Struthio camelus: one gene and its partner. The protein of the gene in region 1 binds, or shares a complex with, the protein of each later gene. Links are inferred from orthologs where the notes say so. Each region holds a gene or a part of one and is shown in the gene's direction. Other genes may lie near its edges.

Region 1 (7,752 bases):
CAGCAGATACTGTGTGCATAAACAAGGATCAGGAACTGGAACCATGATACAAAAAAAAAGTGAGGAAAATGCAGTGCTTGTCTTATCTTGATTGAAGGTACAACAAACACTGGGGATAAAGTAACTACTTGTGTTAGGGATTTTCCACTTCTGCCTCATACATTTTTTTTTCCTTTTTTAAAAACAAGCTAACTGGTTCTATAAAGGTCCTTCCAGAGACTGCAGGATTTCATAGCTAAATTCTAAATAAGAGTCAGGTTACCCTTCACTGGCAGTTGGAGAAGGATATGCAGTTGAAAATGAATTGCTTTGAAAGTCTGGAAAGTAATTGTTACAGCCAACTAGGTAAGATTGAGATGAATTGAGGAATAATCTTACCGTGCTAGCTGAAGTGAGTTAGAGAAGGAGTTTCTGGGTTATAACAACCTTTTAAAATTGATGTGTGGAATCTAATTCCACATACTTTGCATTTCTTTTGCTACATGTAAGCAAATCCTTTCTAAGGGAGGGGACATAGTGAAGGGAGAGAAAAAACAAAAACCTGTAACTAGGTTATAGGACTCTGATAACTGAATCATAATGTCCAGGACCAGATGGAGGCGATCATCCAAACTGAAGCAGTCTTGTGACTTTGATTCCATCTCTAGAGGATGACTGTTTCCTTCTGGGGTTAGAGGGCCGTGTGTGACCTTTATGCTGTGGAGATTTGTGAATGCAGAGTGGAGGCTTTGATTCCCCCTTGCTAAAACAAGGCTCTTTGGTCTGAGCGCTGGACTTATAAGCGTCTAGAAATGGCGCTCTTCCCTCTGGCGATGGGGTTGGGCATGCGAGCGGGTGGTCCAGCTGTTGCAGCAGCTGTAGGGTTCCCCTTGAAGCGCCAGGGGGTTGCAGTGCGGTGAAGGCCAGGAGATAGGGTGTCTTTCTTCCCCCCCCCCCCGTGTCTGTCCATGCTGCATTCCTGAAACGCTGCCTCCTGAGGATGCCTCCTGCCAAGGTACTGCTCTGTTCCTCAACTGCCTCGGAGAGCAAACTACCTCTGGGAGGTCTGAAAAAGCAAAACGCCTCACGTTTGCTGTCTGTCTCCTCTGCTGTGGGAGGCCAGAAGCTCTGCTCCTTTGGACGTGGCAATGAATTGCTGCTGGAGATGTCCTGGCCTTGCTGATTAGCCCATGAACTTGTTCTCTTGCAAGGGAAGTTGGCTAATATCCATAGCTGAGCTATCTGGAGCTAGGAGGTGAGTTGCTGTGAGGCCAGGCATAAGCAGCCTGCATGTTCCACCCCACAGCTGGCAGCTGCTTGTGAAGATGCCTAGCTTGAAACTCTCCTCCACATGCGGCTTGTTACAAGGAAGTGCTGTTGCGCTCTATGCAAGGAAGCTTTTCTAGGACTCGGCTGCTGCAAGTGCCGGATTTGGTGCTCAGAAGGAGGAGGTGGTGGGAAGGGGATTGAATTGAGTGCAGCTCCTGTCCAAAACCGGCTCAGGCTGGTTGCTATCAGCCTTGTTTGTTCAAGGCTTCCTCTGAGCAAAGGCTTATCATGGCCTTGTGCTGTCACCCGCACCATGAGTGTAATATTCATGTCTGAATTATGTAGGGTAGAATCTTGAGGCTGGTTGTAGATTAAACTGCTAAGGCAATCTCTCCTCTCTGTTTTGGATCTGCTGTTCTCTAAGACCTTCTCCTTGCTGCTCCATTGGATTCTCCGCTAAAAGGCAATGCTGACATCCTTATCCCAGAGCAGAAATTCTAGTGTGGCTTGTGCCACGAGAAAGGTACCGTCAAGGAGAGCTGATACAAGACTGGCACTATTACTTGAACCCAGCCTTCAGGATAAACTTCCTGGTGTTTGTCACTGCTTGGTTTGAGTGAAACTGGCCACCCTAGTGTATTTTGGGCAAAGGAAGAGACTTGGGCTGGCATTGAAAAAATACCCCTTGCAGTGTTGGAGATGTTTATCCAGACAGCCTGCTGCTTATGTTTGGGCCCTGCTTTCTCCACCTCCTCTTGCAAAAAAATTGGGGCTGTCCTGTGTATTATGCAGTAACCAAGGTTCCCTAGGGGAGACTTTAGTCAGCAGCACTCGGGTTGCTTGCTGTAAGACGAAGAGTAACTGAAGTGGTGAGCGAGACTGCAAGAACCAAAACTGTACTTGAAGATGGGCTGCCTGGAGGTCTGTGCCTGAAGTCTTCCTACAGATGAGATGGGGTGGCATCAAGGAGGGAGGAGAAGAGTGTTCCCTTGGTGTTAGTTGCTGACCAGCTCCTCAGTGATTTACTGAAACCAAATGCGGAGGAGGAGAGGGACTCTGCTGTGGGCTTTGCGTTATTGGCAATTAAGCTGTGTGGAGGCTTTACCAAACAGTTTAGTCTACAGCTGTGCAGAAATAATGCCCAGCTCTTGCTTGGCTCTGAGATCCAACAGCAGAAAGCCTGTCTGCAAGGAAGGGAGAACAGGGTGACCTGACTGTTGTACAAGGAAACGGGTATCTTGGTGTTCAGCAACAGCAAGGCGCTATCAGCAAGGCACCTTACTGTTAGTCATATCACTAACGCTGTCTTCCAAATTGTAACTGAGTGTCGTCTCTGGGAACTGAAACGGCAAATGAGGAGCTCTGTTGTGGTGGCATAGTGCCTTTCGTAGCACGGTTGCTTGCCAAGTTCTTTGCTGAATGAAACTTTGTGGGGCTGAGATCTGTCTGGGCTGCAGAAATACTCGAGAGCCCACCTGTGGCCGTTGCCAGATGGCTCTGGGTTTCTCCCTGTGCTCTGCAGAAGGGCTACCTTATACCTGGTGTTGGTAACCCAATAGCACAGTACTTAGGTTTTCAGGAGTTGAGCTTTTCCTTGGTAGGAGCAGCAGCAAGCAGATAACCTGGGCAAGAGAGAGGAATAAAACCACAGCTGCTGCATGAATTAATTTAGGAGAAAATGAGGAGCTGTAGTGAAGACCTAGATTTCAGCTGCACAAACTGCCATGAGCTGAGAGCTATTGAATATTACCTGATCTTGAATTCCACCTGGGCAAGATGCCCCACAGCAACTGCTGCCCTGGGTTGTGATGTTGCAAGTTAGGAATTCTTTGGCATGCCTGGTATTCTAAGCGGTCTGGGATCGGCTTCTCAGTGTTTGGCTCTGCAGTCCTGGTCCAGCCCCTGGCTCGCCTGGCAATGGGGGGCTCTGCTCTTGCGAACAGTGTGGCCTAAAGGAGAGTCTGTTCCTTCTGCTCTCTCCAAACCCTGAGCCAGAGGGAGGTCTGCGAGATGCTTCTGGAGGGCAGCTGCAGGAATTAACGTTCCTGGCTTGTCTGGATACTAAAAATCACAAGCTCAGAGGCAGTAACTTTACTGATGTTTTTCCTCTCCGTTTGCCCTCTCCTTCTGAGAGCTGGCTCTTCCCCTGCAGCCCATGTGGGCTTAAAGACCTTACTGAGTCTCTCTCGTTAGCACTCCCTTCTGCTCTGTAAGCATCGCCTTCCCTTTTCTTCCAGATTCCTGAATGCATTAACATGATCTTAAACTTCAAGAAGTTTTTCTAAGCCCAGGCATAGCTTGAAGTTTGCTTTTCTTTGAGCCCCCATCGGAAAGCTGTCCAGAAGCTTTTCTCTGGCCAGCACCAGTGTGCTGAACACGTTAGCTCCCCTCTTGCTGCTCTGCTACATGGTATGTCCTTCTTCTAGAATAGCACTTCCACAGCTCTGAGTCATTTTTTTGTGTACGAGTTCAAATGTCCATGGTCTCCTGCTTTGGCCGGATGCCCAAGTACAAGGAAAGAGTCACTTTGCCCTTATGAATCAAGTTTTGAGTTAATTATCTGTTTGCTTGGACAGAGCATGTCCTTGCATGTTGTGAAGATAAACTTCTAATCTGGATTGTGGTCAGAAGAGTTCAGAGCTTTGGCAAAGGAGCTGAAAGGGAGGGAGCGATGGGTGGCTCCTGAGGGGAAGGGCAGGGTCACGGGGCTACTATATGACTTGAGAGGGCCAGGCGTGAGTCTTTGCTTTATCGCAGACGATGGGTATGGCCACGGGCAAATCATTTGAACTCTGCCTTGGTTTCCCCCTGATGAATTGCAGCTAAAGTGTTGCCCTGCCTTGTGGGGCTGCTGTGAAAGTATGTCTGAACAAACGACATCACTGGTTGGGTCTGTGCAGGGAACTTGTTTGACTGTGAGAGTGCTTAGTCCTTCCAGGCTGGTGTGCGTGAGTAAAAAATGAGAAACAACCTGGAAGCGCTTTCTGAGGTGACAGTTGCCATTTTGAGATCTACTCTTCAGGAGTTTATCTTCATGTCTCTTATGATGTGGAAGAAATGGAGAATGGGAGGCAATAGTGAACCAATTAAATTAAAAGTGAACTATGCACGTATACCAGCAAGGGGTATTCAAGGGGACAGAGGTTAAACTAGGGAAGGGTGTGGAAGGGGTGTGGTGGGGGGTAGGAGGCAATAGTAAATCGGATATATTTGCAGTTTGTTGTTGTGACAGCCTAATGTGGGGATACTCACCATGCCGCAGTGTGGGGGGTGCACAATCCTCCTCCGCAGCTTATGACCACAGCAGTAAGTGTGGGGTGCTGTATCGCCTCATAGACTGGAGAAGGAAAGCCACTGATCTGTGTGAGGAGCGGCAGGAAGAATGGCCTCTGCCCCTTCTAACGCCCTGAGGAATTCATGATGGGTCAGGGCCCTCTAAAAGCTCCCTTTGAGTCCTGCTGAGTTTCGCCAGAGGTGCGGGTAGAAGGTGGATCGGGCTCCCTGGTTGGAAGGAGGGGCTGTTCAGATGGTGCGAGCTAGGCAGAGCAGAAATCACTTCTGATGGATCAGCATGGATGCAATGGGACGGGAGAAGCTTGGTGGGACAGTGCGACACCTCAGGGCATGGAAGGATCTCGCAGTATGTGGTGAAAGTCCTTCTTGAAAATACTGGGAGCTGTTGGGCTCACTTGTGCTCCTAGGATAAACTTACAGCGTAAAGGGTCTGGTCTGAAGGTCCCTTAGTGCTCTTTTGAACTTCTGTGACTTTTTGTGACTGCTAGCATTCACTTACTTTTCTTTGCAGGTTCTCTGACCGTCATGGGGGATGCTGGCATGCAACCAACTGTTTCTGCTCCAGAGAGCCCTGCCCAGCAAGACCCTCTCTTCAGCATGACTGACGTGTTTCTCATCTCACTTATCACTGGGCTTTTTACTTACTGGTTCTTCTTCCGCAAGAAAAAGGAAGAAATCCCTGAGCTCCCCAAAATCCAATCAGTGTAAGTAACAGCTTTGAAGCAATGTGGAATGAGGGTGACTTTCAGTCTTGCTCATCTGACCACAAAGTTGCTCTTGCTTTTCCTGTGCTATTCAGGCTTCCTAGAGTGCTGGTACTGGCTCATTCCTCCCTGGGGCTGGGATCACAGGCTCCTGGGAGGAGGAGAGCTGGTTTCCATCTCTGAGTATTTAGATGGTACTTCTATAACTGGCCTTTCACTCTGCATCTGTGCACAATGCAGCACTTAACTCGTTAGTAGTTTTCTTGCCTTGCCATTCGAGAAATTACTTTAACCCTTCCCAAGAGATGGATGACACTTGCAGGTGCTGGTGTGAATTTAAAGACTTCCTCCTGCCTGAGACTTTGTGCTGCTGGTGGGTCCTTGGAGGCTCCAGGAAGAGAATCAGCCATGTGGGAGGGAGCTGTGCAGGGCCTGGGACGTAGGGGTGGCTTAGCTGGATGGTGTTCCATGTGCCAGGGAAGGTCACTGTGAGGTCTTGCTGCAGGATAATCTAGGGAAATCATTAACAGACGTAGTTAGATGACTGCGTCCTGTGATGTGGCTTTACTGGTGCCATCCAGCCTCGATTCTGTGAAGATCAGTGGTATTGGTGCTGTGCTTGCTTACCGGGTGGGGGGACTTAGTCCCAAAGTGCATTTCTCCCCCGTCGTGTTTCTTTTGAACTGCTTGTTTACCTTGCAATGCAGAAATCCCTGTGGAAGAGCTGGGCTGCAGTTCTACCTTACCTCACGCCTTGACTCAAATTATTAATTTGCCTTCCCCAAACAAGGCAAGCAAAGGCTCTAAAAGCCCCTGACTGTACTTCAAAATGCTTAGGGATTGCTTTGGCTGGTAAAAGTCGTGTTTAATAAACCTGGACAAAGGTAGATTTGCTGTTAAGCAGATTTCCCGTCTAGGAATCTTATCTACACTTAGCTATGAAGAGAAGAAATAATGCTTCGGGAGCCAGAAAGCAATTCCTGGGCATGAGCAGCTCTTGTGAAACATGCTCGACTTTGCCAGGTCTCTGTAGCAGCAAGAGGTTGGATTTGGTGATGGGAGAGGTCCGTGTTTCTACCCTGTCTTCTGCCAAGCAATTGGAGCCAGGAATGAGCAGCGCTGGCAGAGATTTAGGTGTGCTCAGTTCCTTGTCTCAGGCCCATACCGAATTTCACATCAGTTTTCTGCTGTGCTTTTTAGGAGCGTTCCTTGTATTTCCTACTGTAGCAATGTGCCTTGCATTGTTAAGAACACTAAACTGAGGTTTGAATCCCCCTTAAGCTGGAGGGGGAGCTGGCTTTGCGCGTTCTCTCTCCTGCCAGTATGCTGGGATCTGTTCCCTGTGCAGATGAAACTTCCCTCAGATAGAAGGCCATCCTGGTGCCTGACTCACAGCTACTTCAGCCTTAGCCCAGCTCCTCACGCTCACAGTATTAGGCCTTTACAGTAGTAACTGCATCCAAGGTGAATCCTCTGTATTTGTAACACAGAGTGCAAATTTGCTGTAGATCCCTGCTTGTCCTGAAGGTATTGGTGGTTTGGCCATGAAGTGTAGAGGGGAAACAAAGGGGAGAACTGATGGCTGGCTCCTCCCAATGTGTTCACGATTTTACATTCTGTTGCACCTGCAAGGCATCCTGCATGAAGTGGCTTTCTCCATGTGGCAGAGCAGTACCCACTAAGAAATGTCAAGAAGTACTTCTGCTCAGCCCTTCATTTCAAAGTGTTTACTCAAGAATGCAAGGGTTACAGCCCGGTGTGGAAAGAAGCTGTGGCAGGAAATGTTCGTAGACTGGTCAGATGAGGATACTTGGTCACGGGCCAAGGTATTTCAGCATGGGATCAATGCTTCTGTTACCCTGTGTGTAAAAGCAAGTTAAATCAAACACAGCAAGTTGTTGTGGGTCTGTTACCTGTTCTCAGACTTGTGTATCTACCTTAGTGCGTTAGGCTGCTTTCAGTTATCTGGGCTCGTCCTCTGATGTTGTGTCATTAGGTCATAATTGAGAAGGAGCAGATTTGGTCTCATCTTCTTTCTTACTGATCGTAACTCTCTCCTCTGACAACGGGACAGAGCCCTCTGTTCGAAGGCAAGACTGGGATTCCAGGTCTGTTGTGAAATCCCTGGATAAGGGGAAGAGTAGCACGCAGCTCAGTGCAAACAGCCTGCCGTGAAGCAGGCTGTGCACACTGGTATCGCGGGAGGACAGAAAGTACATTTTCTGGCTGGGGGCTGTTTAAAAGGAAGAAATGTCCCTGGCTGCAGTATCCTGTGGCAGAATTCCTGTGTCCAAGCTGACAGTAGCCTCGCTGTCCATCTGTTCTTCTCTGCCTTATCTGGGGAATTTGATTTGTTGAGTCAATCAAATACTCCCCCTTTTGTGCCTGCTGCTCATGCTGTACAGTGATGAGAGGTGAAGTTGGCTGGAGAAATAGCAGAGAGATTGGGTCGCAACCCAAGGCAGAGGTTTTCTCGGAGAGGTTCTTGTGGCTGCCCCCACTCATT
Region 2 (7,660 bases), on another chromosome or scaffold:
GAGAGTTCCTGTGTTTCCCTGAGAGCTCACAGAGCTTGGTTTCCAGTGCCACCTCCTCCCCTCCTCTGATGGAGGTATGAGATTTGTTAGAAGGTTCCCATGCAGTGTATGTGTTATTTTCAGATCCTTCTTTTCACAGTTTGGCCCCCATCTCAGTCAGGGTGCACTCTCCTTTCCACGTGGTAGTAGCCCTGACACGAAGGAAGCTGAAACATTTGCATCACTGAGATTTTAATTTGCTAGTTCTAGCTAAGGCTTGCTCTCTTCTACCCCTCCCTCTGCACCTCAGAAACATACAGGCCATAAGCAGGCAGTGGAGTCTGTCATCACCAGCACTGAGGCTCTGCTGGGCACTGGGTGCTCTCCTCCACCATTTCAGCACAGTGCACTGATACCCTGGAGACCTGCTACAGGTTGTGTTTGTGCTCAGGGAGTTGCCTGCTCCTTGGGTCTCCAGTTAAAAAGCAAGCACGTACCTGGCAGAGTGTTTGCTCTATTTTTCCTTCTCGTCACTGCTCTGTTCTCAGCCTGCCCAGCAAGCCCAGAGCTCCCATCATAGCCATCGTCATGTTCTGGAGACACCTACACGCTGTGGTAAGCATATATTTATAAATGTATAAAATATGTGTATTATAATCTGTGCTTCCTGTTTCTGTCAAGATGGTTCATTTATGTCTGAGAAATTTACTGGCACCTTTGTCTCCACTGCATCTGTCTTTGGGGTTCCCGTATGCTGGGCTTGCCCAGAATAGCAGTGCTGTCTGTAGGACTCTTCTCTTTCAGAAGTGCCAAATATACCAGCAATGCCAGTTCAGAGGAATCATACAGTGCATTCATTCCCTATGGAATTTTTCAGTGCATTGTACTCACAATCTCCATTTTTCCACCTATATCTTTGATCTAGACTTAGATTGTTAAATGTTGACAGGAACAAGCACAATTTGTTCTGCCAGTACTACTGGGCTGGGCAATCTTCCTTTGGTAAACATGAATTAACCATAGCATAACACTGTATGCCCTAGTGGTGACTCCCTTCTTAAGAAAGCAATTTTAAGCAGATATCACGTCGTCCCTTTTTTTTTTTTTCCACTCTTGCTACACAGCAAGTTCTGAGTATTGAGTCAGCTTTTTCCCTCAAAACCATGAGGCTGCATTTTGCTGTGTCATGGTCTGCCAGATCCCCTTTAACCCTTTCTTGCCGGAAAAGACTAGTTTTTACCAGGTTGTTTTCTCTTCTTAGCCAAGCCTCGGCTGTGTGCCAGTCCCAAAATGTGAGAGAGTGCTTCCCACACACGTTCAGAGGAGTTGATTTCATGTTCTGTGACTGACTATATAGCTAGAAATTTCTGAAACTTCTCTACCCCGATGAAATCACGACTCCCCACTAACTTTACGATGTTATTAACTGCTCATCTAATGAATCTCTTGACTTAAACTTTGGCTCAGTGGCCAGGATATGCAATCAGAGGTTTCTAAGCCCAGCAGGGACTGCTGCAAATATCTTGTCTTGGGCTACTTGATTCATGTTTACTAGAAGTCTCCTGGGCAATTTCACTTGTTTCCATGCACATCACCTTCACATTAAATAACTCTGGCACCACCCAACAGCTGCTTTGTGAAAGAACAGGAGAACGGTATTACGGAATTTCTGGCAGGCAGGTGGAGAGACCACAGATCTGAGACCTTGATGCTGTCCAAGCAAAATTTACTAGTGATCTGGATCTGGACTGGCATCTGCCTTTTGAGTGGGGCACACTGTACACCTGACTGAGTTGTTCTAGGGGCCAGTTGTTCTTTCTGCTAAAAATATGCTCCTCCTTTCCAGTGCATCGTTCTTAAACGTCAACTTCCCATGTCGTCTTCTAGGAAGAGATGGTCACTCACAAATCTCTGACAGAACTTTGCCACTTTCTGTGTCCTTAACCTTCCCTCCACCACATAGCAACAGCACAGCAGAAGCAATACAATTCCTCGCTGCAGAGCAGTGGACAAGGCCAAAAATGCCCCAGGCCAGTGACTACAAAGATGATGACAGCACATTTTCAGTTCCTCTTCCATCTTGGCTGCTGAGCCCTTGGGCCTTTCTGGGGAGCTGGGCCCAGTCTATAACAGCTGCTCCCTGCCCTTCCATCAAGTAACCCTGATCAGCTAGAGATCAGAAGGTATAACTAAGTTATGGGACACGGCTTGTTCCCCTGCACATGTGGAAAAAATTCATCTGGAGAGGTAAGGTGCAGGAGGGAGATTATCTCTTATGACTGGCCCTGGAGAAGGTAAAGCCCCAACAGCCACCAGGGAGGTATGTTGGGGAGCACCTAGAGCAAAAACCTGGATTCCAGAACAGTGTGGTTACAAACCAGAACGTTTCCCAGGAAGAAGTATCCTATCTGGAATAGCAGTAATATGACTAAACAGCTCTCTCTCCTCCTCAGTCCATTTGCCTCATCCACATCTTGGCTACCTCAACCATGGATGAAAGGGAAGGAGGAGGAAGATGTCTTGGACAGATCTTTTAAAGCATCTCCAAGCATGCAACCTCTCGGGAGAAGGAAGGCTGGCAGGGCACAAAAGCACAGATCTGAGAGCAACTAGAAAACCTTTGCAAAGGAACTGGGCTCATTAACAGCTGCTGAACAGACATGAAGGGAGGGGCAGGGTTTGGGCTTGGGGTTTTCTGATCTCGACCAAGTATACCTCCCTCTACTGAAACTACAAGTTCAATTTGTGCTCCAGCTTCCCCTGTCAGATCAGGACTCACTGAAAAGAACTGAAAACTGCTTGTGAGCTTTAAGAGAGCAATGCAAGAGAGAAATGCTCATTTCAAGGACATCCCTGTGGCAAGATGGCATCAATGTCTGCAGGACAGAACGGCCATGCAGCCCTGCACTCCTGGGGGCTCCTGTGCAGAGCCCTCTGTCAGAGGGTGTTTGGGGCTTTGTCACACCTTCTGAAGAGATTCAGACATCCCAATGTATTTATTTTACCATACAGATAAAGCAAACAAGTCAGTAACAAGTTGTGTGCAATGGCATGGGGGAAGCGGGGAAAGCAAGCAACTTGTCACTTTTGCTAGCGTGTACTGTTGCTTTAAAGAAAGAATAAGACAGGAAAAGTCTGGCTGAGTCAGGGTGGAATTGCTGACTAATCCTTCCTGAGCTCCCCACACTGCAAACCAGATGTCTGCCTGAGTGAAAAAAACAAGCGTAGATGCACATTTCCTCCAGGACAGCTTTCTAACCTATGGCACCACAGCAAGCTACTGTTGGGGTAGCTGCAGTGACAGGGAGACAAGGCAGCTTGGGCTGCAGCGCCCATCAGCACAGTCTCAGATTGGACTCGCCAGGACAAAAGATACAGACAAAAGATAACTGTAGTTCTCCTCCCTCCTCCCCCTGCTTTGCCTCCCTACCACTTCATGCATGTAACACAGTGCTGTGTTACTGCAGCAGCGCTTTCTCACCTCTGCATTAGCAGGGGAATGCTGTTTTTAAGTGCCTTGGTATTTGGGTTGCACACAAAATTTGTGCTTTCTCAAAGCAGAGCTGGCTGATGCACCTTCAACCCTGGCTAGCCCTGCTTCCAGCACAGTTGGAAAACAAGGGCCCCACCATCCATTGGCTGCCTCATTAACCACTTCAACAGACAAAACAGTGGAGGAGCCAGCTACTGGCAGAACCAGCTTATCCAATTCTCTTTTCCCAAATCAGAGGAATTATTTGCATTTGAAAGTCTCTGCAGACTTCCCCAGAGTTTTCCCTAAATCCTACATCACATCTTTTCAGTCCTTCGTGCATACCGGCTACTGTAGTCTTCTGGGTATCTAAGAGATGGGGCGCTCTCCTTCCAAAATGCCCTGCACGCAGCTGTGACAACAGCAGGGGCCGTTTGCCATGCAAAGCAGCCGCTCTTGTTTCCATTCATAAGGGAGCAGAGGATGTCTCAGCGCATCGGTGCAGGCAAACCTGTGATGGCTCCACGCAAAGAGGAAGGATTTATTCACCAGGGTTCAGCTCTGTGCAGCTGTAGTTCTGCCACTTGCAGACTGGAGCTGGTGCGTGCCTATGCCACAGCACCCAGATTACTCACAACTGGTACAAAGCCCAGGGTCCCTGCTGTGCTCCTCACTGTGGAGCGGGCATGCTCCTAATCTGTAGGGCAGAGCTCCCCACCCCATGGCCAGTAAGCACTAGGTTACCTGAGGGGACTCTCTGACAATGTTCCTGGCCACAGGAAATTAAACATTTACACCTGAGTCTTGACAGAGACTAGGACAGATGCTGTATTAGCTCCCCAGGTGGGGTGCAGCTGGCACACAGATTGGGGGAAAAGGCTGTGGGGAGAGGAGTTGCCCACCCTGCCCCATCACATTTGACCATGGCACTAACCAGTAAATCCACCCCTCTACCCAACACCGCTGCCCCCAGCACAGTGACCACTGCTTGTAGCACCTGGGCTCTGCCTGCCATCGGCACTGTGCTGAAAGGGTTACCAAGCCAGGCAATCTTGAAAAAGAAGTTGTTCAACATCCTCTTATTTGTGCTTAGTTGTCAAGAGGAATCAGGTGACTTCCTTCTGCCGTCCAAGTCTGGTCCCTCAGGGCAGCAGGCAAGGAAAGGGTGACAGCAACGCTGGGAAGGGAAGCACAGTTGTGTTGCAAGAAGTTTGTACTCACACTGAGGTCAGCAGTTGGGCTGCTCACGTGACCTGGCCAGTATAAAGCTCGATGCAGGAGCCAGGCTGCCCAGCTCAAACGCTTCGCAGTGTCCTGGGAGCAGAAGGGAAGGAAGAAAGCAAGGGCAAGAAAAATCAACAGGGACACAGAGGAGAAAACGAAGTGGAGAAACATGGATACTTCCCAGACACACAGCTCTGAAAGGTGAGAGCAGGACTGGAATGAGAGGGAAATTTCCAGCCAAGAGAGTATCATATTTTTCCCCTTGCTTTTAGGTGTACTGTTCCTGTTTCTGCTCTGCAGGGAACAGCATGCTCTTTCTTTCCCCTCTGGATGGAGCCTAACAGTTTTACTTCCCCTTGGACAGCGTGTGAGATACTAGCGCTCCCTTGATCCCATCCGTGGCTCTCGGGAGTGCTCTGCTTCTTTCCCTGCCTTCCCAGGCTTCCCTCTTTTTGCTAGAGAGCTAAGATCCATTTTGCAGGAGGAAAGTGACAGCACCAATATCTCTTTTGCTTCTTTTCCCCAGCATGTCACGGGACCTGTCAGAACTCATGAAGGAAGCCACCAAGGAGGTGCACGAGCAGGCAGAGAATACACTCTTCATGAAAAATTTCCAGAAGGGGCAGGTGTCACTCCATGAATTTAAGGTACTTGCAGTAGTATTGGGTGGGGATGGGATTTCCTTGTCATGGAATACACTTGTAGATCAGATAGGCTATGCGGGGACTAAAGGTTGAGGGGTGAAGGAAGCCCTTTGCATCACAGCAGTCTAGTATCAGCATCTCCTGTGCAAAACATGCTCTTAATCAAATTTTAGCACTCTTAAGACTTTACAGGCTCCTCCTTCAGAACGTGAGGCAGGATTGTATCTTTCTGGATAGGCAATCAAGCTGAAACAGGATAAAAAGGCAACGAGATTGTAATTGCTTTTATCTTTCCTTATAAATGCCTGCATGTTAATTATGGCCAATGAGAGTTAATGGAGATACAACTATGTGCAGGTGTATGAGTGATTAAAATGGCAACAAGAAAGGAGAATACTTTAGAATGCTTTAGGCGGTTACAGCTAGAAATAATGATGGAATAATGAGAAATGTGGGATCATTTTTGGCACTGAACCTTGCAGAGTTGTAGTTATCACTTGAGTTATACCAGAGCTGCGATCAGGAGCAATTACTCGAGGCAGAGTAAGTTTGAGCAAGCCATGTCTGTTCATGTAGGAGCCTGTTGCTTTTCTTAAGATATAACAGAATCATTTGCGGTTACGGAGTCTGTGTCTAATCTGGCTAGTTAATGTGACCTGAGCCACGTAACAAAGCCATGTGTAAAAACAAGGCAGGCATATGAGCTAGAAATTCCTGGGAGGTTAGAGGATGTGACACAGGGGTTCCAAATAACAGCTAGTAAGCTGAGCTGTGGCTTAATGACTTTATTTTTGAATTGCTCCTTGATAAATACATCCATAGGAGTAGGGAAAAAGAGTACTTATTTCTGATAGTTCACATTCATGACACGCAGTCAAGCATACTGTTAATCTCAGGTGCTGACCTCCTCCTGTTAGAAATGTGGCATTTGTTAGGCAATGAACTTTGAGACAGGCTAGCGATAACCTAAAAAGTCAAGCCTCTAAGATCCTGGAATACAGCTTAGTTTCTTAGAAAATTCTTAGTTTCTTAGAAGTTTCTTAGGCTTCAGGAGGAACGAGATGTGATGCTGGATTTTAAAAAGTAAGATGATGATTTTCAAAAGCTACTTTTCTCAGTAAACTACTATCTCTGATAGCAATAGTCAGATTAAATCCTTTAATTTGTTAGGCAATATTCCTGTATTTTATTTCTTTTCCAGTAAACTAGATGACAAGTTATTGTTTAAAAGCTCCTTTTGTTTAACCTCTTGGCAAACCTATATATCTGCCCTGAAACATGACTCCATAAAATTTGAGTATCTGTTTCTGCAATCAAGTCACTGCCTGTCTGCATATCAAAGTCCTATTTGCTGACATAGTGGGGAAAAGTTGAAATGGCAACTCTTCTACTGCTAGAACTAATAGCTTTGTGGGAGAATAAACCACTTTTGCTCCTATCAGCAGTATAATTTCCCCCTCAAGCCTGACTCACCTGTGCTGCAGGGCCTTCACGTTTTACCCTTTGCTGCTGATGAGGGATTTCAGTGTAAGCAAGAGGTGGTGTACATATAAATACGTATATAGCTTTTAAGAGCAGAATGTCCAGCAAAGGAAAGAACACAGCTAGATTGTCTTATGCTATGTGGAAAGGCTGGCAGATATAAAAAAAGTATCGTGTAAGCTGGGAAAAACAACAATAACAACAGTCTGAAAATAGTAATGAACACACAGCCTCGCAGTGATCTTTCGCAAAGGCATCTTTCAGAGGCAAGCTGTGCTTTCAGTCCCCTTTGTATCTTATCTCCTTGGGGCAACCACAGGGAAACAAAGAGGCAACCCTACTTACAAATCTGAATGAAGAGAGCAGTGGTGCCTCAATTCCCAGGACGGTAGACTGCCAACAGGATAAATAGGCTGTACAGTAAACAGGGTGTGTCATTGTCTCATAAGGCCCCACAGAGGAAAGGCACATCTTGAAGCATTCAGATTTGAACAATACACCAGAAAATATACCTTTGGGAATAATCTCTCTATTGACTAGGGGGAATGAAGGGAATAGACTAGGTATGATTTAATAGGGCTCCATTTTCTATAATATCAAGCTGCCAGAACCTTAACTTGAAGGTGAAGACAGCAGCTTTTATGGACAGGTAAGACCAACATCTGTTGAGAATAACTTAGGTCTCAGCTGATGCTGCCTCAAGCAGAAGGGGAAGGGCTAGAGGATGTCTCACTGTCCCTTCCAACTCTGCTTTCCATATGTGAAATCTACAACAATATAACATATTTGCATGATTCATACTGGGTGTGCATATGAGTAACGTTTTTTGTTAGTGGGATTTGTCCCAAAAGCTGGAAGA

What was found.
Region 2: the proteins of POR (region 1) and HMOX1 are in contact, whole or in part, in a crystal structure (PDB 3WKT), measured with the Rattus norvegicus proteins. The link is inferred for Struthio camelus from reciprocal best matches to the Homo sapiens genes POR and HMOX1. Residues at the interface, in NP_113764.1 of Rattus norvegicus: Thr88, Thr177, Asp208, Asp209, Arg313, Arg514, Lys515, Gln517, Arg519, Leu520, Phe522, Lys523, His626, Lys665, Met667, Thr668, Lys669, Gly670, Tyr672; in NP_036712.1 of Rattus norvegicus: Asp12, Ser14, Glu15, Gln38, Ala75, Pro76, Glu81, Lys149, Ile150, Lys153, Ser171, Asp173, Asn174, Thr176, Lys177, Phe178, Lys179, Gln180, Leu181, Arg183, Ala184, Arg185, Asn187, Thr188.

The regions. Positions count from the first base shown.
Region 1 is NC_090957.1:14,661,913-14,669,664, reverse strand, and holds the start of POR (NADPH--cytochrome P450 reductase), read left to right. Parts: upstream 1-4,618; 5' UTR 4,619-4,809; coding exon 4,810-4,888; intron 4,889-5,053; coding exon 5,054-5,246; intron 5,247-7,752. UniProt on the Homo sapiens protein: This enzyme is required for electron transfer from NADP to cytochrome P450 in microsomes. It can also provide electron transfer to heme oxygenase and cytochrome B5.
Region 2 is NC_090942.1:59,833,080-59,840,739, reverse strand, and holds the start of HMOX1 (heme oxygenase 1), read left to right. Parts: upstream 1-4,643; 5' UTR 4,644-4,844; coding exon 4,845-4,876; intron 4,877-5,201; coding exon 5,202-5,322; intron 5,323-7,660.